Linked DNA regions of Rhinolophus ferrumequinum. The protein of the gene in region 2 purifies or fractionates together with the protein of the main gene of each other region. This does not show direct contact. Links are inferred from orthologs where the notes say so. Each region holds a gene or a part of one and is shown on either strand. Other genes may lie near its edges.

Region 1 (7,737 bases), on a different chromosome or scaffold from region 2:
TTGTGACTCTCCTGTGATTCTGACATGCCCAAATATGGTTTTCTTTGTATTTATCTTGCTTATTGCTTTCTGATCTTCCTGGAACTGTAAGTCAAAATTTGTCAGCTATCATTTTTCAAAAATATTTCATTGCCTCATTATACTGATTTTTCTTTTGGAGCTCCAATCCACATATATTGACTTGTATAATACTGTCTTGTAAGTTTCTGGGGTTCTGTTCATTTTTCTTGAATCTTTTTATATTTCTGTTCGCGAGACTATAGAATTTCTCTGTATCTTTTTCCCAAGCCCCTCTAAATTGGCAAGATTCAATCTCCAAATTCTGTCTCCTCTAACAATCAATCTTGTTAGGGCTTGGTTTTAAGCTTTGTTAAAGTGTGTCTAGAGTGGGCCTCTCTCTGGGTGTGGCCTTTATCATAAAAAGTGATTCATCCTGATTCCCATTTTCAGGAAGTGTTAAGGAGCCCTAACCAGTATGTCTGTGCCATAATTCTAAAGTCCCCGGGTCTGCTAATTGTGTGCTACCTCGGTTCTGCTGTCCCCTCTGCAGCAGCCACTACGCCTTGGGTGGCCATGCCTGTGGTTGTACTGTCCAGCGCTCAGGCAAGAACTTGTGGGAAACCCCCCTCACCACATGAATTTTATGACCTCCACAGATTCTTTATTTTAATGCCCTGCTTCATAGATTCCCATCACTTCAAAAGCCTAGAACTCTGATCTCTGCCTTTTAGATAGAGAGACTTCCATATTCTGATTGAACTCCAGGTCACTGCACTGCAGCTAGGAAATTTTCCCGAGGCAGAGAACCAGAAAAACTGGGACACAACTTGTTTGTTTTCTCTCAGGAACCATAGCCCATTTGTATGGTCATTTCCTTTTAGATATTTAATGCTAGCATTTATTCGTGCTCCTACTTGACTATGCATGCGGTGCCTACCCCAACAGCACTGCTCCCTTCTAAGTTGTCTCTATGGCATTCCAAGTCTGCCTTCACATTCTAGCTTTTAGCATACATTCTTTTGGCTGTCTGGTTTGGTGATCAGTTCATACTCTCTTTTCTGGATTATTTAACTCTGTTTCCTTTTGGACTTTAGAGTATAGATAGTCCCCTGATGTGATGCCACTCAATGTGTAAGAGATTCCTTCTGTCAAATGTGACCACTACAATTGAGCCAACCTCCTGCCTTCCCTCCTCATTACTGCACTAGCAAGGGGATTCTGACAACAGGGCATACTTATTGAGCCTTGGTCTCTATTATTTAGATTGAACTGAAAATGAAATGCCTATCAATATAACCTTTTTTTTTCTTTTTACTTGCTAACATAAACACAATTTGGCTAGAGTTAGAATATGTCCATGTAAATATTAAAATTTCCAGTTTCCTAGAAATGACCATGTCATACCTCTGTCCAATGAGCTGCATGTCAAGAGCAAAAGATGGGGCTTTGGGTAACCAATTGCTTTCATTGTTTAAAAAAACAACAAAACAAGACACACATGGCTCATTTCTCTTTATGCTTATCCCCCATCCCCCTTCCACTCACTCACTCTGCCTCAGGAAGTTCTGACCTTAGATTTAACATAAACATGACCTAGACATGATCCCAGAAGAATGAGAGGTGCCTGGAGTAAAACTGAACTAAACCTGTGGTCTGGAACCAAGCCTACACAAGGTCAGCTTAAATCAATCTCAGCTTGACCCAAAACATGTGAGAAATAAATGCTTATGACACTGGGATCTTTTTGGTTATTGTTTATACAACATTATTCTAGCAATAGCTGATTGAGACAATAAGCTAGACATAAATCATGAAAACTCTTAATTAGAAGATAAAATGCTGGTAGACTGCCTGGATTCACTGCCCCGCTCTGTTGTTTTCACTCATATGGATTTTTGCCAAATTAATTACCCCGTGTCTCAGTTTCCTTGACTGTAAAATAGGAATAATAATGTGTTTTTTTAATGAGGATTAAACAAAGATAATCATTTAACATTTGATAACATGATATCTGGTACACGATGCTTAATCAATATTCAAAATTATTATTCAATACCACTGTGGGGTTTGGATTTTACTCAGGCGGCCAGTGGTTTTTAACCATATTTCCAAGAAAGACTGGTGTCTGTCATCTGAGGGGGTTCCCTGATAAATTAGAATTTATCAGGGACTTTTCCCAGTATGCAGATTAATTTAAGTAAATCAATATAAATTCCACATTCTAAGAATTTTTCTCCCCTATGTTTTTAAATCTCTAGTGATTGGCACAACTTTTAAGCAGGCTAACTGAAAACTAGTAAATGCACAAGTAGTAGTATTATTAATTGAACAAATTCAGAAAAACCAATTATACTTTGTTTGACAACTTGTCTTATAAATAGACATGCGTGCTCAAAATTTTCATTTTATATTACACAGGCAAAATATTTTCTCCCAGGAAACTTGCTCCCACTTCCTGTGATGGAACTGAAAATATTGTTCCATAATGCTTTACAGATAATATGGTATTCTGCAAAGAACACATTAATTTGCAGGTGCTGTGCCTGCTTAAGATCACTGATGTTGAGGACTAAGAGTCTTTTGGAAGGAAATCTATTTGTTCATCTGTTATTTTAAGAGAGATCTGAGCTTGAAAGTTTACCATGGCTGTAAGCAAAGGTAGAAAGGGCTGAGAGCAAAGAAGACTAGTGTATAGCCCTAGAAATATAAAAACAATTCCTTGTCAGAAGCAGGGAACAGAAAATAGTTGATTAATGAAAAAGACGTTAGGGAAGTGAGAAAATTTGACAACATTTAGATGCAAGTGGTAAGGGAAAGGAAAGAGATTCTTAAACATTAGTGTAAATGAAAATTACCCCAGGAGCTTAGAAAAATGGATACATAGTCCATATCCCCACTCCCAAAAATTGTGCTCAGAATTTCTGGAATAATGACCTAGAACCTGCATTTTTAACAAATTCCATTTCTGATACTGATTCAGGTGGCGGAGAGTCACATTTGGAGAAACATTAGAACATAATATGCTCTCATCATTTGCAATCATTAATTTGACTCTGCTATTTCAGAATTACTTAGCACTTTTCATGTTTCAGTTACTGGCAAGGATTGCTGCAGATGGGAAGCCAAGGATAAAGGATGATGCCAAGGTTTTATGCCTAATCACCCTGGAGAAGAATAATGCTAGTAATCAAGATGAGAAACACAACAGTAAAATGTGATATTATAAGGAAGGAAAGATGGTGCACTTTATTTTTTTTTGATGTGTTGAATATTGGACTTTTTTAAAGGGTGGAAGTGAGTGGCATTAAATATGAACCCTCTTCCACGTATGGCTCTGAATAAGGTTGTGAATAAGGGAGACAGGATATCCAAAGAACCATCTTATTACTGATAAATGCCAGGTTGGAAGCTGAAGTTAGGGCATGTCACCAATGGTCTTCCGCACACTGGAACCCAACATTAATTAAGATGCCTAGTCCCTACAATTCTACCAGAGTAATTGCATTACTCTATTACCCCTAAAGACACTATCCTGTCCACCCTACCTACAATAGTCCTTTACATTTTTTTTTTACTGTAGATCCTGTACTTGTCATTTACAACATACTTCAGAATTCAGAATGAGCCCAATTGTTTATCTACATATGAGCCTAAGTACTATGACAGCAAAGATCACATCTGATTTGTCTACTATCCCATACTCATAATTTCACACAGTGCTAAGCAAGTAGAAACTCAAAACAATTTTTTCAGTGAATACGTTTTTTAAACAGAACAAATATTAACTTTGGCTTCTGGTCAGGTTTTTCATTTGTTTTTGTTGTTGTTGTTGTTGTTACTGTTTGTTAGTATCTGCTAAGACCAAAGTTCCATGTAAGATGTCAAAGAAGGTAAAGAAAACATTATTCAAGACTATCATAATAGACCACAAAAGCCAGAACTCTTGAGCTCAACTACCCAAAAACAAAGAGATGGAAGCGCTTTTAAGAGTTGAAGTAGGGAACATCACAGGCCACCTGTGTTTACTAATTGGCCTTATTCAAAGGAAAAGTTAACTTTTTCTCTTAGCTTTGTGACAGGAAGTAGTTCTACAAGTTGGAACAAGGTGCCCGCCTAAGTTAGGCTCCTACCTTTCCACAAAGACTGGAAAGATAGGGGTGCTATTGTCTGCCTTGATTACATTTCAAAAGAATGTCTCCCGGTCCTTAATACAATCCTGGGCTGTAAAACTGGCAAGAGCTTTTTAAAGGATTTATTATATACCTCAAAAGGGCAATGGATGAATTTACAATTACAAATTTTCTACAGTAAATACTCTCAAGAAAGGAAGCTCAGGGACCTGGAGACTGGAAGACATTTGTCTCCAATTTGTACCTGAGCTAAGAGAAACGTCAAGCCCGTCTTAACTGTGTTTCTGCAGTTTTACACAAAGGAACTCAACGGTGAGCTCCGCTCTCTCGAGCTTTCCTTATGCAAAGAGCTTCTGTACATTTTACACTACACATTTTTGTTTACTTCCTTAATGATGACCCACCCGTAGAGCGGACTCAGCTCCTCCGGGCAGAGCGTGTGCGCACAAGGCATTGCGCGCCGGACGTCACTGCACGCGCCTGCCGCTACCTGTTAGCAACCGAAAGCGTCCATAGCAGCAGTGGCGGCTGAAATGTACGCACTTCCGGTTTTCCCAGCAGCTGCTGTCGCTTCTGACACCTGCCGCGGCCGGGTCTCAGCCCGGGATTTGGTCACCTTTTCTTCGTTCTCCATTGCGCCCATGGTTCCTCCTGGAGCCAGGGCGGCGGGCCCGGCGGCTCCGGCGTGGTGAGAGGCCGGTCCGGGGACGATGAAGGCCCTGCATTGCAGCTGCTGCCTCAGCCGCTTTCTGGCGTCCGCCCTCCTGCTGCTGCTACTCCTGCCAGGGTTAAGAGGGCCCATGGCGGTACTGTTGCAAGCGGCCGAAGCCGCTCGGGACTCCGGACCCTTGGAGCGTGGACCGCGGACCCTGCCCCCACTTCCGCCTGGCCCCACCGCCGCCCGGTCCCCTGGCCGCGCTCAGGCCGAAGCCGCGAGGCCTCGGGGCGCTGAGGGTGGCAATGGCAGCAGCCCCGGTGCGGGGCTTGAGGCGGAGGACCCAGCCGGGAAGGCGGGGGAAGAAGGTTCAGTGGGTGGCGTTCTCGCTGTGAGCCCCGATCCCGGCGAGAAGCCCATGACCCAGCGGGCCCTGACCGTATTGATGGTGGTGAGCGGCGCGGTGCTGGTGTACTTCGTCGTCAGGACTGTCAGGTGAGGCGAAGCCTCGATCAGCCTTCCCCCAGGGCCCGCTGACCTAGCAAGGCACATTTCTGGAACCTCGCGTTGCCCACCTTCCTCTCCCAGTATCAGGGGTGCCTGTTTGAGTGAGATTGTGAAGATGACTGTCAAAAGACAGTGGTACCTTTGAGAGAATTGAAACCACCAAGTAGCTGCTCCCTTTCATTTATAAATTATACATAGTACCCGCCTCCAAATCCCTTTACCTGGCAAAAAGAGCATACTTTCCCTGAAAGGAAGTAATCTTGTATTGGACCACAATGTGTTGCAATACTTCGCTTTCTATTCTGTACTGTATACTTTGCCAATTTGCCTATTAGAATGAAAACTTCTTAAGGGCAGGATTCCTATTTAGTAGCGTTTGTAAGCCCTAGAGTTCCTTGTACAATACCGCCACTTGATAGGAAATCAATATTTATTTAAGTGGATTAATAATAATGCAGAAGGACTTTATTATGGTAATTTTATAAAATATAAAAGAAAAAGAGTTCTTCCTTACCAGAGATTTTTTTAGTATTGGCCTTTTAATCTGCCCGTAAGCAATTAGATTGTACCCTATGAAGTTTCCTGCATTCCACCATTTTTTACCTGACAATACAATTTTGTATTGTCACTTTCAATGTGTGTCGTACTCCCCATTAATCAGAAATATTTAGCATTCATTTTACATGGCACGGTTATTTCAATGCAAAGTGTTACCAGTTGCGTGATAAAATGGAAAACTGATAACCTATTAAGCAAAGGAAAAATGTTATAAATATGATCCAATTTTAATATTATAGCAAGTGTTTAGTATCCTAAGAAAACTCACTATGTTGACTTTAAATTTACAAATATTTGAATTCATATATGGATAAATTTGATATTTCACACACACACACGTGCAAACTTTCTAAAATGAATTCACCTATAAATAACAATTCTGTCATTCAAAAATTTAAATTTATGAAATACATAGTTTTTAAAGACTATTCCAACTACAGAATGCTAGATTGCTGAGTTATTTAAATTTCAGATTTCGAACAGATATGATCACTTAAATGACACCTTTCACTTTACCTGTGAGGAAATTGACCCAGAGGGTAAAATGATGTATCTGATATTCTATGGAGCTTAATAATAATCTATGATTGTACAATCCACTGTTTGCTTTGTTTGAATATTTTCCAATTAACAAAATGTCTATGTCCTGACCTATGATCAACATTTTTATTAAGTAAACCAGGTCATTATGTTGGACATACTATGAATAAAAATAGACAATTGCCACTTATTTTTCTAATACCCTAATGCCTTATCAAGTAGAAAAGGAATTATATAATCCAACTAGAGATATTTATTATTATCAGTAACCTCCATTTGATGCATTCCTTTATCACTGAAGTAAAATTGGCTTCTGACATCAATCATATTAAAATATTCCAACCATGTAATAAGACTGATTTGGAAAATCTATAATAAAGCCTCTTTTAGTGGGTTAGCTGGGGACCATGTTCTGAAGAGCTGAAATATAGAGCCAAAACGTCAATATTAGGAGCAGTCAGCCAAGAAAAGAGCTGAGGGAGCACTCTCTCAATAGTTTCCTCCTTAATAAAATAGAGGCTAGGTTTTCAGGAAAGCACTGATTTATTGTTTTCCAAACTGTCACATTTTTTCCCTTAACTACCTACCCTCTATTATTTCATACATTTCTTTAAATATGTTTATTTAAACTAAAAGTTACATTTTAAATAAATCTATTTATTATTCCATGAATAGAAAACCAACATCCCTTGGCTTAAATAGCTATTAAAAAACAAAACAAAACAAAACAAAAAAACAGTGTAAGCCACTCGTAGCAGACATTTGGTCCAGCGAACCTTGGGAGGTGGGAGGGTGGGTTCTTTGAGAGCCCTTCAAGGAATCTGCAAGACCAAAGCAATTTTCAAAATAATGCGTTATCTTATAAGTTTATAGGGTATAAGAAGTTCATTGATACAGTTTCAAATTCTACATCACAGCTAATTTTTAAGAAACTACCTCTTGTTGAGTTTTGGTGTAGTAGCAAAAAAGAATACTAGCATCTGAAAAGATTAAAATGCTCCTCCCTTTTCCAAGTTCATATTTATGTGAACCTAGATTTTTTTCATATCCTTCAACCAAACACATTGCAAATGATTAAATGCAGAAGCAAATACAAATATTTACCTATTTTCTATTTTCTATGTCTTTCTATTTTCTATTTAGTTCTATCTGTTTAAGCCAGACATTAAAGGGATTTGAAAAAAATCTAAGTCAGTGCCCTTCTGTCACCTTTTTGTTTGTTTGTTTGTTTTCTTTTTGACAATATGTTTCTTATGAAAAAAGGTATGTTAACATGCAATGGATTTATTATTTTAAATCAAATGATAGATTTTTGGTTTAATTAACATACTAAGTATTATATTAATG
Region 2 (7,468 bases):
GTGCAGTGACTGTGCTGGACTGTAAAGATTGGTTGGGCAGTTCGTTCTCTTCTTTCTTGCATTTTTGGGTGAATAAAATGCATTTTAGAGTGGATCAGTGTCTTGACTGAGGCCGGATGCTTCTTGAAGGCATGTTAAAATTTAGAGAATGATTTTTATCATTACTTCATAGGAAGAAGCTTACCTTGTGCGATTATACAGGGGTTACTCAGTCTTGACACTGTTGACATTTTGGCCCAGACAGTTCGTTGTTGTGGGGGTTGTCCTGGGCATTGTTGGATGTGTATCTACCCACTGGCACCATCCCACTTGCCTATTGTCCCCTGTGGAGCAAAGTGCCCTTGGCTGAGAGCCCTGGATGACTATCGGGTTAGAAGGAAGTAGTTGGGACAGTCTGATCCAATACACAAATATTGTTTTCCCCTAACTCTCAGGAAGGTCTTTAATATGCAAACTGTAGACAACAAATAATACTTTTGTATCTGACTTATCCATTCAATAAATATTGAGTATCTACTATGTGCCTTGCACTGGGGACACAGCAGTGCAAAAGGCAGACGTGGTACTGCTCTTACAGAGCTTGCATTTGGGGGACTGAGTAAATAAAAATGGTAAATATCAAGAAGTGCCGTGAAGAAAATAAAGAGGTTTGGAAGGCCTATATTACAGTAGGTGTTCAAGGAAGGCCTCTGCAGAGGTGACATTTGAGCTGAGACCCAAATGACAAGAAGGATCCGGGCAGGTGAAAATCTGGGAGACAGATGCACCAGGCAGGGGTTCTAGGCCGTGTTCCAGAGGGAACAGTAAGTGCAAAGGCCCTGAGGCAGGAGTAAGCATGGTGTTCACAGAGAAGGCAGACCAGCCTGGCTGAAGCAGCTTGAGGAAAGGGTACAGTGGTCGAGAGCGAGCAAGCCAGGTCATGTAGGGCTTCAGAGGTTAAGGGAGGGAGCTTGAGTTCTATTCCAATGAGGAGTCCTCAGAGGGTTTGCAGTAGTAGACTGACATAATTGAACTTTATAGCTTAAAAAAAAAATCACTGTTTGGAGAATTGGACTGTTGGGAAAGATTAATTGGGCGGTCAGGCAGGATGAGGAGTCAAAGCTATTATTTTGGGCAGAGGTGGCAGCAGTGGAGATGGAGAGAAGTTGATGAATTCTGGACAGATGGGTGGGGGCTACTTAAAAAATCCCTTAAACAAAATAACAAAAACCCCCTTACATTTCAATAGCACTTCCAGAAACTGCTTATTACTTTTACTTCTAGGATCCCATGAGCATATGTAGTGCGGGAGACCCTGCTCGCTGCGCCAGGTGTCGTGCAGGGGATCCTGCCGACTACGCCAAGTGTCATGCGAGGTGTGAGGCGGGGTTTCTGGTCCCGCTCCCCACACAAGAACGCAGGACATGGTGAGGCCAAAAAGGAACACCCACGGAGCCATAGGTAGGGGAGTCATACCACTATGTTCTCGCTGGCGGCTGGGTTGGAGACACAGGAAACAGGAGCCACACAATTCTCAACCCTCACTGTGCCGCTTGCAGGCTCAGCCACCATCTTCTTGCTAGCCCCCATTTTTTTCCTGCTAGCCTAGCCACGGCAGTTATATTCGTGGCCAATGGCTCACTGGTTACAGCTGATGGCCAACTAGCCACAGCTGATGGCCATTTGATCACAGTCGATGGCCATTTACTACCTGAGCCAGCACCTTTCTATGTGAGGCCGAGAGCCAGGAAACTGCTTTTTGGGGCTCTGTCCCCACAGCATATCTGAGTGTAGTGACATAAATGATATCAGGGGCATGACAAAGTGCTCTTTCCTTGGGTTTCTGTGGCTTCAGATAAGGCTGCAGAGGCTTATTTATACATGCAGAATGTTCTTTCTGCTTGGCCTCCGGGCTCTGTGCTACCCGCCCCATCTGTTTCTGAGCCTGAAGAAGGCTGTGAACCGGAGAATTTATTCTTCTGGCAGGATCTGCCAATCATAGCCGGGCGGGGAGGGGCCTGGTGGCTGGTGGGACACGTGTGCCGGGAGGGAAGCAGGAAGTGATTTCGGGAGTGGAGCCGGCGAACGAGCGGCAGCAGGGGCTGATGGAAGTGGAGTGGGGGCTTGAGAGGGCACCCTAGTGAGTCGGCTTTTCTGTCCTTCAGCGCCTTCGGTCGGGCTGGAGGCCTGGGGTCTGGGGCCATCAGGACAGGCGTGGGGGACTAAGAAGGGCAACGTGGAGTTTGGAAGGGAGTTCCTCTGGGGAGGGGAGGGGGTTGGCGGGGAAGCGGGGCGGCTTTGGCAGGTGGCAGAGGAGGCAGCAGGGGGCGCGGAGCCCCCTCTGCCCCTCCCAGGGGCAAGTTGGAGGGTGTTGACCTGCCTTCTTTTGACAGTGGTTTTCCAGGATCTTCTTCATGTAGTACTTCATGGTGGGCTTGTGGGGGACCCTGGAGCCCTGGGAGTGCGGGTGGCTGCCGTTCCAGCTGCAACGTGTCTGTTCCCACTGGCTCTGGGGGTCAGCAGGTCCTCCTGAACTTGGCTGGGCATCTGGTTCAGGTGCAGCAGGCCAGAGATGGTGCATTTCCAGTCAATCCCCAGGTCAGCTGGTCCGCGGGCCACACTTTCAGTGGGGAGGTCCTGGAGAACTTTTCCACAGTCACAGCAGCCCAAACCCGAATCGTTTTGCTGGATTTCCCTCGTGGAGTCAGGGCGTCTGTGTGCAGTGCCATTATGCGCTGTTTCCACCTCTGCAGCTTCACCCACATCTTGGAGCTGACTCTTGGAAGCAGGGCAAGAGGTTTGAAAGGGAGAGAAAAAATCCTGGATCAACTGGGAGCACCTCATGTCCTGCTGTAGTGACCACATGTGGGGTGGTGTTGGCATCTTTGAAGTTGGGGTGGGAAGGGAATAACCCCCTACTCTGCAAACGAATCAAGGTTTATGTGTTAACATCCAGCTTACAAGGAAGCCTGGGCCTCATTGTGGAAGCTGAGTTTGACGTCCCCAGGCTGACCGCTCCCTGTCCCCAAGGTGCTATTGGTCTACCTACTGGAGAAAACTCGTTGTTATCTCGTGACTTGACTTGGCGTCAGCCTTGCCAGGCCCTTGTAGGGCAGGAGAATCACTTTCTAAGCTCTTGGCCCTGTAGAATTTGTTCCAGCTTTAGACCAGTGCTTTCCACATGAATGTGCCCTGTGCCTAAGAATGCCCCATGCAACCGGATAAAACTCAAGATTCTGATTCAGCAAGTCTGGGGTGCGGCAGAGAGTCTGCATTTCTAGCCTGCTCCCAAGGGCGACCAGTGCTCCAGGTTCTCGGACCACCCTTTTTAAAACAGCGAAGGGGAGAAACTTCTCCAAGAGCGGCTGGGCTTTCATGACCAATGAACAGTGCTGCGACTGTTGGGGTGGGAAGGATGATGGCCTTGGTCTTCCTTCTGTGTTCCTTTTTCTTATAGCTCAGGGTGCTCAGCTGTCAATGGAGACAGGCCTAGAAGAGTGCCTTTCCCTCCTACCAGCCCCCAGGGACACCCACGAGGTCCTTGTTTCCCAGCCCACAAAACCCACATTAACTGGCCTTTTGGGAAATGCAAATGGTTTCCTCTCTTCTGTAGCTGTTAAAAGGCGCGAATTCAGTACTGGGGCAAAAAAGGTGTTTGTTTGTTTGTTTTAATGACCTGTCTTGGGTCATAAGTACTAAGAGGATGATAGCTGTATGCCTTTCTTTGTAAATACTATTGAAAATTTTATCCACAAGCAGCTAGAAATAGAAAATTGGTGTCTTGATCTAGATGTGTCGTTTTAAAAACACACAAACCACTCTTTTTAGGGTAACTTAACAAGATGACATATATAAAAGGGTGTATTTTTTTTTTAATGATTGTTTTTTTTTTTTTCTTTATTTGGTACAGTCACCATCCTGGGTTCTACTTAGGCTATGGGGACACCATTTGAGTCCATAAATGCTGTCTCTGTCAGAGGTTTCCTGGCACCGGGGCCGAACCTGGGCTCACCTGGGCTTGTTGGGTTCACCTGGACCCACAGCCTTCCTAGGTTTGAATCCTAGCTATGCTGCTGAGCCCTGTGGCGTAAGGGCCCCTCCCTCACACCCTCGGTCATGGTTTCCTTCCAGGGTCAATAGAGAGAGGCGGTGTCTAGCCCACAGCTGCTGGCTCCGAGCGCTGGGACCTGGCAGGGCTGAGCCCGGTGGGGTTGTGTCCAGCCCTGTGGGTGCTGGCAGGCCGGTGGGGAGCTGAATGAGCCCTCTGAGATGAGGAGGGCCTCACCCTCAATGTCTGTGTACCAGCACACAGGACTTTTCAACAAATGGGTTTCTCCACCTTGTAACTTTCCACAGCAAGAGTCTGATTCCCTGTCATTTCAGAGCTAGGGTTTAAAACACGTTCAAGTCTAGAAGAGGCTCTCTGAGCAAACACACGAGGGAATGTCCTTCCCTTTCTTTCGTCTGTGGGCAGTGGTGTAACTTCAGCATCAGCAGTTGCCTGGGGAAATGCCCCTTTTGGCTCCATTTCCTTGTTCTTGCTGGGGGTCCTCTCAAGGTAAGCTTGTCCAAGGTGCCATAAAAAATTCAAGCATTTTCTAGGGGTGCCAGAAAGTTCTACCTACAGGGGTGCCAAATGTGAAAAAGCATCATCCCTGCTCTTAAGCAGCTGATGATATAAAAGATGAAGGAGGCAAGCCCACACAAAGAAGGTGCCCGAGCTGTGCTCATCAGGGACGGGAGTGGAATGGAAAGCATGGAATCGAAGTTGGCATTCGGTGGACAACAGGGGATGCTCTGGGTGTGATGGCTGGAGGTTGGGAAGGAAGGCATTCTGGGAGGAGCCGCGTGAAGAGAGACTTGGAGCAGGACCCTGTGGGACTCGTCCAGGTGCCATAAATAATTAGGTTGAGCTGGAATATGGTGCCCATGTAGGGCACCGTGGTAATAGGCAGGCTAGTTGAAGGTCTGTCGGTGACATATGCCCTTGGCGGGCCATGGGAGCTGCCACGGGGAGCTGTTGAAGGTTGGATCAAAACTTAGGTGGAAGAGCTTCGAGAGGGAACCTGAGCTAGTCACCTATATTTGGAGGAGACTGACCCAGTGATTTGCAAGGGCAGGAGGAAGGCCGATGGGCGGGAAGGCTGTAATTAGACCCTCTGCTCCCTGCCTGCAGGCTAAATAAACAGTCTTTGAGCTTCCTGTGTTTGGAACTATTTTCCAGTGTTGTAACCTCTTTCACAGATGTCTTCTCTGGCATCTCCCCAGGTGTCCCCACGTTTCTTACTGAGAGATGGCATGGCTGAAAGGTGCATACACCAACCCAGACCCAGGCCAGATCAGGTGGATGGGGTTAGAACACCTTAGAACACGTGCATGTCACTGAAAGGGACCACTGGCAGCTGACCCTCTCTTGCTCCTCTGCACACAGCTGTATCCAGCATGCTCCAAGGTCACAGCTCTGTGTTCCAGGCCTTGCTGGGGACCTTCTTCACCTGGGGGATGACGGCAGCTGGGGCGGCTCTCGTGTTCATATTCTCTAGTGGACAGGTGAGTTGCCTGGATTCAGCCCTCGTAGCAGGCTCTGAACCACTGCACAGTCTGGCGGCAGACTCGAGCGCCACTGGCCACACCTCCAGCTCGTGGGTGATGTCCTGTCATTTCCCCCTTCTCCCTGCCAGGCCTGGAGAGCAGGTGTCTACGGTTTAGGCATCACTTGTTCCTCCCCTCCTGATTTGAAGGACGGAGGGAGTGAGAGAAGCCCAGTGAGTCAGGCTCCTTTAGCTGCCTGCCCGATTTCTATCTTCTGTCCAGTTTCTTTCAGGCCTGGTGCAGCTCAGTGCATGACTGAAGGGGAACAATAGATTCTGGGTGTGACTGCCGTTCTCTGTGACCTTGAGGTAGCTGGGGTGACTGGACTGACTTGGGGAAAGGAAGGGAATCTGTTCCCTCTCGTTTGCCCCAAATCCAGGGCGCTGCCTTCCCTCTCCCACCCGCTTTGGGATGGATACACTCAGACCTGCCTCCCCATAGGCCTACAGACCCCCACACCTACCCGCCCCACCCCCACCCACCTTTGCTCTTCCTATGCTCCCACACCCAACCCCCACACACACCTGTATCCCCCGTACCCTACACCCCTTTACACACTCCACATATGCTCTCCCACCCTCCCCACACACCCCCACACCCTCCTCAACCCCATTCCCCACACATTCCACGCACCCCACCCCTTTCCTCCACGGCCCACGCCCCCCTCCTAGGTCCCAGATTCCCTTTTCTTCTCCACACCCTTGACTGCCTCCATCCATTGGCCTAGAGTGATCCGTGGATAACTTGATGAATGCAGCCGTAGAAATTGTAGGAGTGGTAAGCGACTAAGTGATTTAAGATCTATCTAAACAGGCTGCTAGGCGGCTCTGGAAACTAAAACGCGCCTAAGACGTTGGCAAGCCAGGCACTCTTGCGTTAGAGACCAGTAAAGCAGGTATTGATGTCAACGATGAGATCTTGAGATCTTATCGGACCTCCCCGGCTGCCCGCCCCTGCCTCCTCAGCGGGAGGCTGGGAGAACATCACCGCACACAGCCGCGAGTGCCAGCTTACTGTCCACAGGTAGTGAAAACGTTCAAAACCCGGTTCCTGAAGGAGAGACCGCCCCCCTCAGGAGCCAGAGGAGGGGCACCAGGTTATCCTCTTTCACCCCTCCTCTTTCACAACAGCCACGCCAGGTTTGCTGGGGTCCTGTCCTTCTGGGCAGAGCAGCCCATCTTTTCATCTTCACCAGTTTCTTTTCCTTTAAGAAGGAAAGATCTGAGCCGCGCTAGCTGGGGTCTAGCTGGCCGAGCTGGCCATTGAGACCTGAGTTCCATGCAGCACTGTGGTGAGTAGAACCTCATAGCCCCATGTGGCCCTGGCCAGTGCTCTGGGGCTCTTTGGAAGCGGGGAGCCATCACAGAGGGGCCCCCTTTTCCTTTGGAGCTGCAGAGCCCCTAATTTGGCTCGTGTTTGGGTAACCACCCAGGTCAGAAGGGGGAATTGCTGAGACCTTTGTCTTTGTGGAGCATACAGGGCGTCCTCAAGACCACATGTTCGCTGATTCGCTAGAAGGACCCATGGGACTCAGCATGTAGTTGTGCTCATGGCTACGGTTTATTGCAGTGGAAGGACACACAGCAGGGCCAGCAAAGGAAAGACACAGGCAGAGCCCGGGGAAATGTGCGCACAGGTGTCTGCCGCTCCCTCCCTCCTGCGACGGGGCACACAAAGTGTGCTCTGTGTCCCAGCAACCTAATGCAGCAGTGCTGTGACGTGTCTGCCTGGTGATGCCTGTGAAGGACTGAGCTCTCAAGGTGTTCCGTGGGCGCTGGCCACGTAGGTGTTCAGTACCGTGCTGCTTCCAAAATTCCAGACTCATGGGAGGAAAGCAGGGGCCCCGCATCTATCACCTGGTTTGTAAAACAGTCCCAGTGACCCACCCTTATCCGTT
Region 3 (7,186 bases), on a different chromosome or scaffold from region 2:
CAATCCTATGGAACACACATCCAGGACTAAAGCTTAAGAACAGAGAGGGAGCTGGCTATGCCCCTATGTGGCCAGAGAAGGCTCTGCCGCTCTCTCCCAGGAACTTCCACTCTCCCTCTCTTCCTGCACCCCCACTCCCTGGCTCCAGGGAGGTCCCTGATACTCCTTCACACTTTAAACTTGACTTCCAGTTCACAGCCCTTTTCTAATCTGCAGCAAGTCAAACCCCATGGGACCCAGGACAGGGCAGGAGCATGTTCACTGGAGCCCGCCATGACCTCCAATTTCCACCCCTCAAAACTGCTGCATTGCCTCCAGTAGGGCCTCCCACACCATCCAGGTCTCTCAGTCTGAGTGGCCTTCCGGGCTGATCTTGGAGGGCACTCAGAGAAGCAGGGGAGAGGTCCAAGAGCAAGGTTAGGATTCCGAAGCAGAGGCAAAAGGGATGAGACCCAGCAGCTTCCCAGTGCCCTTTTCCCTTCCATTCCCCTCTCTTTCCCCTCCTCTTCCTCTTCCAGCTCGGACCCTCCGCCCATCACATCACACAGAGGACAGAACATTCTAGCCAGCCTGCTTGTCCCTTGCTATTTCCTGCCCACTTACCCTGAGGCCAGGGTTGACCCTCTCATGATATAAGGAGGAGGTAGCTTGGATGAATCCATGGTGTGGAAACTCCCTAGGGACCTGGGGCCACTAGTGGTTTGGCCAGTTCCACTCCAATCTGTCAGTCTTCTCAGACCCCAGCACTATGGAGTCTTTACACAGGAGGTTTTTTTCCTCATCAGCTTTTCTGTCCAAGCAGCCACAAGTGTTTTGGAAACAGTGTCCTCATGACAGGGACTCTCAGCCAAGAAAGGGACATTCCACCTAAAGAGGCTCAGCCCCAGAGTTCAACCAGACAGGGGTGTGAGAACTGGGGGAGAAGGGCTGGGGAAAACCAGTAAACCTCAAGGTCTCCTCAGGCAAAGCAGGGAGATATGGTACTTTGCAGGGGATTTTTACTTCTTCCGGGGCGGGGCGAGTAACAAGACACAGAATGTGGGGCAGGATGGGAATATGAGAGCACTTCCACACCAACACCCGCTCCCCACCATATTCCTGGGGCTCAGCTGCCTTTGCACAAACATCTCAGATTGTACTCCACACAAGCCTTAGCCCTCCTGACCCTGCACCGCCCCGAGGAGCTCCTCGCCCCTCCCTGCCCAGGCCCAGATCTTTTCACGTCAGAATCGTCACCCTGCTCCACTACCCACCCCCTGGCCCCACACTTTGCTCTCCCTCCTCTTGATCCTCATCCAGCCAAGCAGCCCCCGCCCAGCAGTCTCGAGGGTCGTCCAAGGTTCTTGCCCACCACTCGTCCCGGTGGGAAGAAGGCGTCACGCCGGGGTGCGCCTCTCGGCGGGTCCCAGAGCCTACCTCCTCAACAGGTGCCCCCGCCACGCAGAGCCCTCAACCTGGGCGCAGGCGGAGGCGGCGACAGGCACGCCCCCTGCAGGGCGGCGGGGACTCCTCACGCCCCAGGCCAGATCCCGGGAGCGCCTAGGGTCCCGCAGCTCCGCCGAGACCCCCGCGGTGATCCGCCGCCTTTGTTTCCCTACTCGCCTTGACCTCGCAGGGCTGACCTCGTGAAAGGGAATCTCCGAGCCGGTGCGCAAACACTGCCCACTCACCCGTCCTGATGGGGTGAGGGGCGCGTACAGGACGAGACCTTTCCCCTACCCAGAGAGCCCCGGGTATGTTAATGGGGAGTACTCCGTGCATAAGAAGCAGGTTCAAGTTGACCCGAGCCGAGAAAGGGGCTCAAAGCCGGGCGCAGCCCCTAGCAATCCTGCCTTACCCAACGCCCCCACCCCACGTCCTTGGCCCCCAGGAGGTTGGAGAGGGGGTGCGCATGGCCACCTACGCGCTCAGCTGCGCGCAGTTCCCACTGCCTGCTAGCTGCGCGCAAGGTCCAGCCGCCTTCCGGAGCGGACGAGGCACGGGCAGCCCCCGGCCCCGGCCCGGCGGCGCAGTGCCGAGAGAGCCGCCACGTTCCCAGTCTCGCGCGCACGCCGGGCCCACCAAACTTGCAGCACTTTCTCCCAGCCCCCAACCGCTGTCACCCTCCCTCCATCCGTGCGCCCTGGCCCCGCTGGCCCAACGGAGGTTGCCATAACAACAGGCAGGAATGCTCCAACATATACAAAGCCCGCAGAGCGCGGCGGGCACGCAGCCCCTGGCCGGGCCCCGCGCCCTCTGCAGCCGCGCGAGGCTAGGACGCGCGCCGCGGCTCCCCGGCCGGCCGCCCGGCGCGCAGGGTGTACTCACAATGAGCGGGATGGTGCGGTCTTCGCGGAGCTGCTCCGGCCTCCCACCGGCCCTCTGAGCGCCGCGGCCGCTGGAGGATGCTGCATGGGCTCGGTTGTCCTGCCATAAGTAGTAGAAAGTGCCCAGGATCCAGGCTACGGTAAGGATGGCGATGGCATTGGCGCGGATCTTCCTCATGGTGGGCGGGCGGGCGCCCCGAGTGGGGGTCCGAGCCGGCGAGCTCTCGGGGCCGGAGCGGGGGCGCTCGCAGCCCCAGCTGTTTGTTTTCGCTTGCGCCCGGCTGCTCAGTCCTGCAGAGCAGAAAAAGGAGAGAGGTGGGGGGTGGGGGGGGTGATGGGGAGAGACAGGCGCGCGGAGCGATCCTCACGGTCCTAATGCCCTTCAGCCCCGCGCGCGCGCGTCCCCCGGGCGCCCATTCATTTGCGCGCAGAGCCCGCCAGGCGCTCCAGCTCCCACTGGCCGTCCGGGTTGCTGCGCTCTAGGGGAGAAGCGCCAAGGGTGCGAAGCGGCGCGTGAGGAAGACCCGGCAGACACCCGCGTCGGAATGGCGACCGGCCAGAGCCAGTCTCCGCTACCACCGCTTGGTGACAGAGCGACCGGCGGCTGCCCCCGCGCGGCCCTAATCGGTCCCTCCTACCTCCACCCACCTCCCGACCAAGCGGCCCTGAGTCACTGGCTGGAGATGCGCGACCCCGACCCGGGCCCGCGCCGCGGAGGTGCGGATCCGGGCTGCGCTTGACCTGCGCTCTGTCGCGGGGTTTAAGGTATGTTCGGCGAGTCCTTGGGGAGGGGAGGCTGGCTAGGCGGGAGGAGAGTTTGCACAGGAATCTTCCACAACCTAGGATTCCGAGCCGACCGAAGCCCCCTCCCCCACCACGGAGGAATTGGAAGCTGGTGCACTTGACATTCGAAGACAGCAAGGGGAAGCGACGCTGCTTCTCAGCTAGTGAAAGGAGAATGTGGGTTCAACCACCGCACATCTTCCATTGGCCTAGAGTTCCCAGCTTTCATCATGCTCCTCTCCACCCGCCTCACTGTCCCTGGCCAACGCTGAGGTATCATCGTCACCATTTCATCAGGAAGAAGGGAGTTCAGAGAGGCTGGAAGATTCGCCCAAGGCCACGCAACTAATTAGTGAGCAGAGCCCAGTCTAGAAGCCATCTCTCTGACACTTTCGACAAAGTGCAAAACAGTGGGGAGTGACACAGACACGGAAATTATAGCGATTCTGCCCCAGTCCTGGCGGCATTGAGAACCCCGGGGGAACCACTCTCACTCCCGCAGAAGGCAAGATGGGCTAAATTAGCTCTAGAAGACCACCAGCACGGGCTGGGCACAGAGCAGACACTAAACGAGTAGAGGTGCCATAGACAAACCAAGTGGGTCACAGAAGAAGAAATAATGTATGGCAGGCAAAGTGGTCCTAGGGAAGGCTTTTCACAGAAGGTGGATAAATCTTTTGAATAAGTTCTTAAAAGACAGGAAAGGGGGAGGGCAGGGCAGGGTATATGGGCTGCACCAATAGCCCGAGCAAAGGTTCTGAGGATGGAAATACTTGATGTGTTCAAGGAAGAACACATCAGCAATGCCTGGCATTGCTGGGGTCCAGGATGCTGGGAAAGCCTTGGTGGAAGGTGGCCAGGCTGAGAGAATCTGGATTCAGGAGGACCCTGAAGTTGGTAGGGAATCTGCTTCCCACTAGTGCTACTGGAAACTGGTTCATGTGAAGGCCCACAGAGGGTCCCAGCCTCCAAATGAAGCTGCCGTGGGAATCAGGCAAACGGTGAGGTCACAGCTCATTCCTTCCTCCAGCCATCCCCATCAGCACCGCTCATTTCCCCGGGGTTCTCCAGCACTCAAGACTGAACCACACATGTAGCAGATGCAGGAATCATGGGGCAGACCCAGTGGTCATGTTTTCTGTGGGAGACCAGGGAGACCTTGCTCCTTAGGAATCAGGCCCCACAGGCATCTGCACACAAAGGAAGTGTAAGGGAACTGCCCTGCTGGTGTCCCCACTTCCACACATGCTCTCACATCAGCCAAGTGGAAAGACTCCGGCAATGGCCCTCTGTTGCCATAGGCTTGCTCCCCTCATCCCAGCCTGGTCTATCCATGTCTAGTTGCCTTTAGTCTTGAGAGAACCAGGTAAGAAGATACGGGATCCAAACTCATCTCATCAACCCCTAGTGAGAGGCTCCACACTCAGCCCTAGGCCTGAGGGATGAAGCTGGACCATGCCAAACTGAAATCAGGCTGGAGGGGGTGGTTCTGATGGCTCTGGAAGAAGGGTTCTATGAGGAGAGGGAGGGAAGGAGGAGCTGGAATTTAGCCAAGTTTCTACAAGTCTCACCCTTTATTCTCCAGGGCTCAGTGGTGAGTATGCTTCACATCTGACCAAATTGTCACTTCTTGGAAGCTCTGTCCCAAAGAGAAGACTTCCCCACTCCCCCCAGAAAACTTCATAGGAGCATAGCCTCTCTGGATGGTGTTAGACTTCACAGCCAGCCCTTCCTTAAATGGACACAATAAATTTCCCTGGGGGTGGGGGTGAGGGTAAGGGGGCAGATAATCACCATGCTTACCTGACTAACAGAAACGTGACATAGACAGAGGCTGAGTGACGGGCCTCAAACCACAGGCACACTAGAAGAGCTGGGAACTAGCAGCGGCCACCTCAGCTACCACAGTGCATGGTTCAGTCCTGAGTGCTGGAGACACCCGTGCAAATGAGCGGTGCTGATGGGGGTGGCAGGAGGAAGGCACAGTCGTTCTGCCAGGTGCTGACCCCTGAGACAGAGTTCAGTGTTCAGAGATGACAGTGGGCATTGTTTCCTCTCTAGGCCTAGGAGTGATTCCAGCAGAACCACAGAAGCAAGGTGACAACTGAGAGACAGTGTTACCTAACATTCATTGAACTTCCAAAACAACAGGAGTGATAATAATAGCGACAGTTCACTGAGTACACAGCAGGTGCCAGGTGCTGTGCTGGCATCTCACACGTTATCTCTAACACACCCACAACCTGCAGACGAGAACTCAGGCTCGCTCGGTGAGGGTCTCGGTTGCCAAGAGTCCTACAGCAGGTAAGCGGTCGGTTTCAGTCTATTTGCTGTGCCTGTGTCTGGGCACCAGTGCAGCGTTTCTGAGGTCACTGGGCAGTCTGCAGGGTGGTCACAAGTTCTGTATGCAGGGGCCCCATGTCCCCTTCTGTGCCTCCATTTTCTTTTCTGTAAAAGGAAGGATGCGGAGAGATGACCTCCGAGGTCCCTCCAACGGTGTCATTTTGGACTTCCAGTTCCTTGGGCAGGGTCTCCATTGTGCATTGCTATTGGGCACAGTCCCCTTCCTTTAAAGCTGCTGAAGCAAGCACTCAGGTAAGCTGGGCAAAGTGCCCAGTGCCCTTGGCCATCCTAGAGGCCCCAGGGAACTCTCTGCCCCTGCATTTGATGTGGGGATGGGGGGGGCAGGTGGATAACAGAGGGGAGAAAGGGTACAGCTCGGTGTAAAACCCTAGCTCTGGAGTTGGACAAGCTGAATTCAATGCTGATTCTGTCATATATTAGGAGAGTGGTTTGGGCAAATTCTTAACCTCTCTTAGCCTCAGTTTCCTCAACTGTGAAATGAAGCATGACAGCCCATAACTTGCAGCATTGTTGGGAAAGATAGGATGAAATAAAGCATGCAAGATCCAGTGCCTGGTAACCAGCCCAGTCCCCTGGAGGCCCACTCTCACAGGCGCTGCTGCTGGCTGCTGGGGTGAGAGGGGACTCCCGAAGGGCCTGCCCAGGGCACACACACAGGATTGCTCACCAGTGCTGAGAAAGAGTACAGACCCCAGGCAGGCCTCTTCAGCCACACCCAAGGACAACTGCCTGCCCAGAAGGTGGGTGGCTGCCTCTTCCACAGTTTCTGCTGAGTGGACTGGAGATGGGGCGGGGGGTGCGGGGAATACAGGGCCCCAGCCTCTGCTGGTGTCTGTCCTTGCTAGCATACCCATTTCCCTTCAGACCTTGGACCGGCCCCCCAGAAGCCTCTTGCCCTGTCTGCAGCTGCAGCGGGGCCCGAGAAGGTAGAGGAGGGGAACAGATTATACCTCCATGTCTGTTCTAAGCAGGAAAGGAGGAAGGGATGGTGAACAGAGTGTGTTACCATGCAACAGGCATTGCGCCGATACGCACTCTCAGAATACTCCCCACGACCCTGCGAGGAAGGTGCAACCATCTCCGCTTCACAGATGAAGAAGCTGATGCCTGCAGAGGTAAGGCAGCCATCAAGAGGTGCATCTACTACCCACGGCCAGATGACCGCACGTAGTGCACCATTGTATCTAAGGAGAAGTTACTTGTAAGTTTAGTTTCTATAAACCATGATAGATGGAGGAGAAGACCTGGCTCTTTGAAAGGAACTCAAAGAGTCTTCTTGTTAATCATTCTATTTGCCTATAACCATGGCTTTTTATGTCAGTTTCTGCCACTGGAGTGTAAGCTCCATGAGGGCAGGAGTTCTGGTATGTTTTGTTCACCACTGTCTCCCCAGTGCTTAGAACAGTGCTTGGCATATAGTAGCACATAGTACATGCTCATTAAATATTTGGTGATGGAAGAGAGGGAGGGAAAGAGGCAGGCAGAGGTAAGAAAAAGGGTAGAGTAGCTCTGAGGAACATGCACTTCTCTCTGAAGTCAAGCACTTGAGAGTCGTGGGCAGGACTAGAGCCCAGAGGGAGGGATGTATGTAGGTCAGTGTGGGCCAGTATAATAAGTAACCCAGGTCCCCTAACAGTGCTTCTTCCTCAGAAGCATTTGGCTCCCTCCCCCAAACACGGGCCAGGGGACAAACCTTGCTGCCTCAGGATGGGGAGGTGAGAAAGTCCTCTCTG

What was found. Proteins that work in one complex are often made in the same cells at the same time.
Region 1: the proteins of SLC39A11 (region 2) and FAM174A purify together in Homo sapiens (co-immunoprecipitation; 3 studies listed by BioGRID and IntAct, counting the BioPlex papers as one, with this or other methods). This does not show direct contact. The link is inferred for Rhinolophus ferrumequinum from reciprocal best matches to the Homo sapiens genes SLC39A11 and FAM174A.
Region 3: the proteins of SLC39A11 (region 2) and GALNT16 purify together in Homo sapiens (co-immunoprecipitation; 3 studies listed by BioGRID and IntAct, counting the BioPlex papers as one, with this or other methods). This does not show direct contact. The link is inferred for Rhinolophus ferrumequinum from reciprocal best matches to the Homo sapiens genes SLC39A11 and GALNT16.

The regions. Positions count from the first base shown.
Region 1 is NC_046290.1:67,040,463-67,048,199, forward strand, and holds the start of FAM174A (membrane protein FAM174A), read left to right. Parts: upstream 1-4,645; 5' UTR 4,646-4,840; coding exon 4,841-5,280; intron 5,281-7,737.
Region 2 is NC_046304.1:48,664,845-48,672,312, reverse strand, and holds the start of SLC39A11 (zinc transporter ZIP11), read left to right. Parts: upstream 1-4,421; 5' UTR 4,422-4,488; coding exon 4,489-4,537; intron 4,538-5,410; coding exon 5,411-5,529; intron 5,530-7,468. UniProt on the Homo sapiens protein: Zinc importer that regulates cytosolic zinc concentrations either via zinc influx from the extracellular compartment or efflux from intracellular organelles such as Golgi apparatus. May transport copper ions as well.
Region 3 is NC_046289.1:27,811,065-27,818,250, forward strand, and holds the start of GALNT16 (polypeptide N-acetylgalactosaminyltransferase 16), read right to left. Parts: upstream 3,093-7,186; 5' UTR 2,955-3,092; intron 2,885-2,954; exon of another isoform or gene 2,598-2,884; 5' UTR 2,485-2,597; coding exon 2,308-2,484; intron 1-2,307. UniProt on the Homo sapiens protein: Catalyzes the initial reaction in O-linked oligosaccharide biosynthesis, the transfer of an N-acetyl-D-galactosamine residue to a serine or threonine residue on the protein receptor.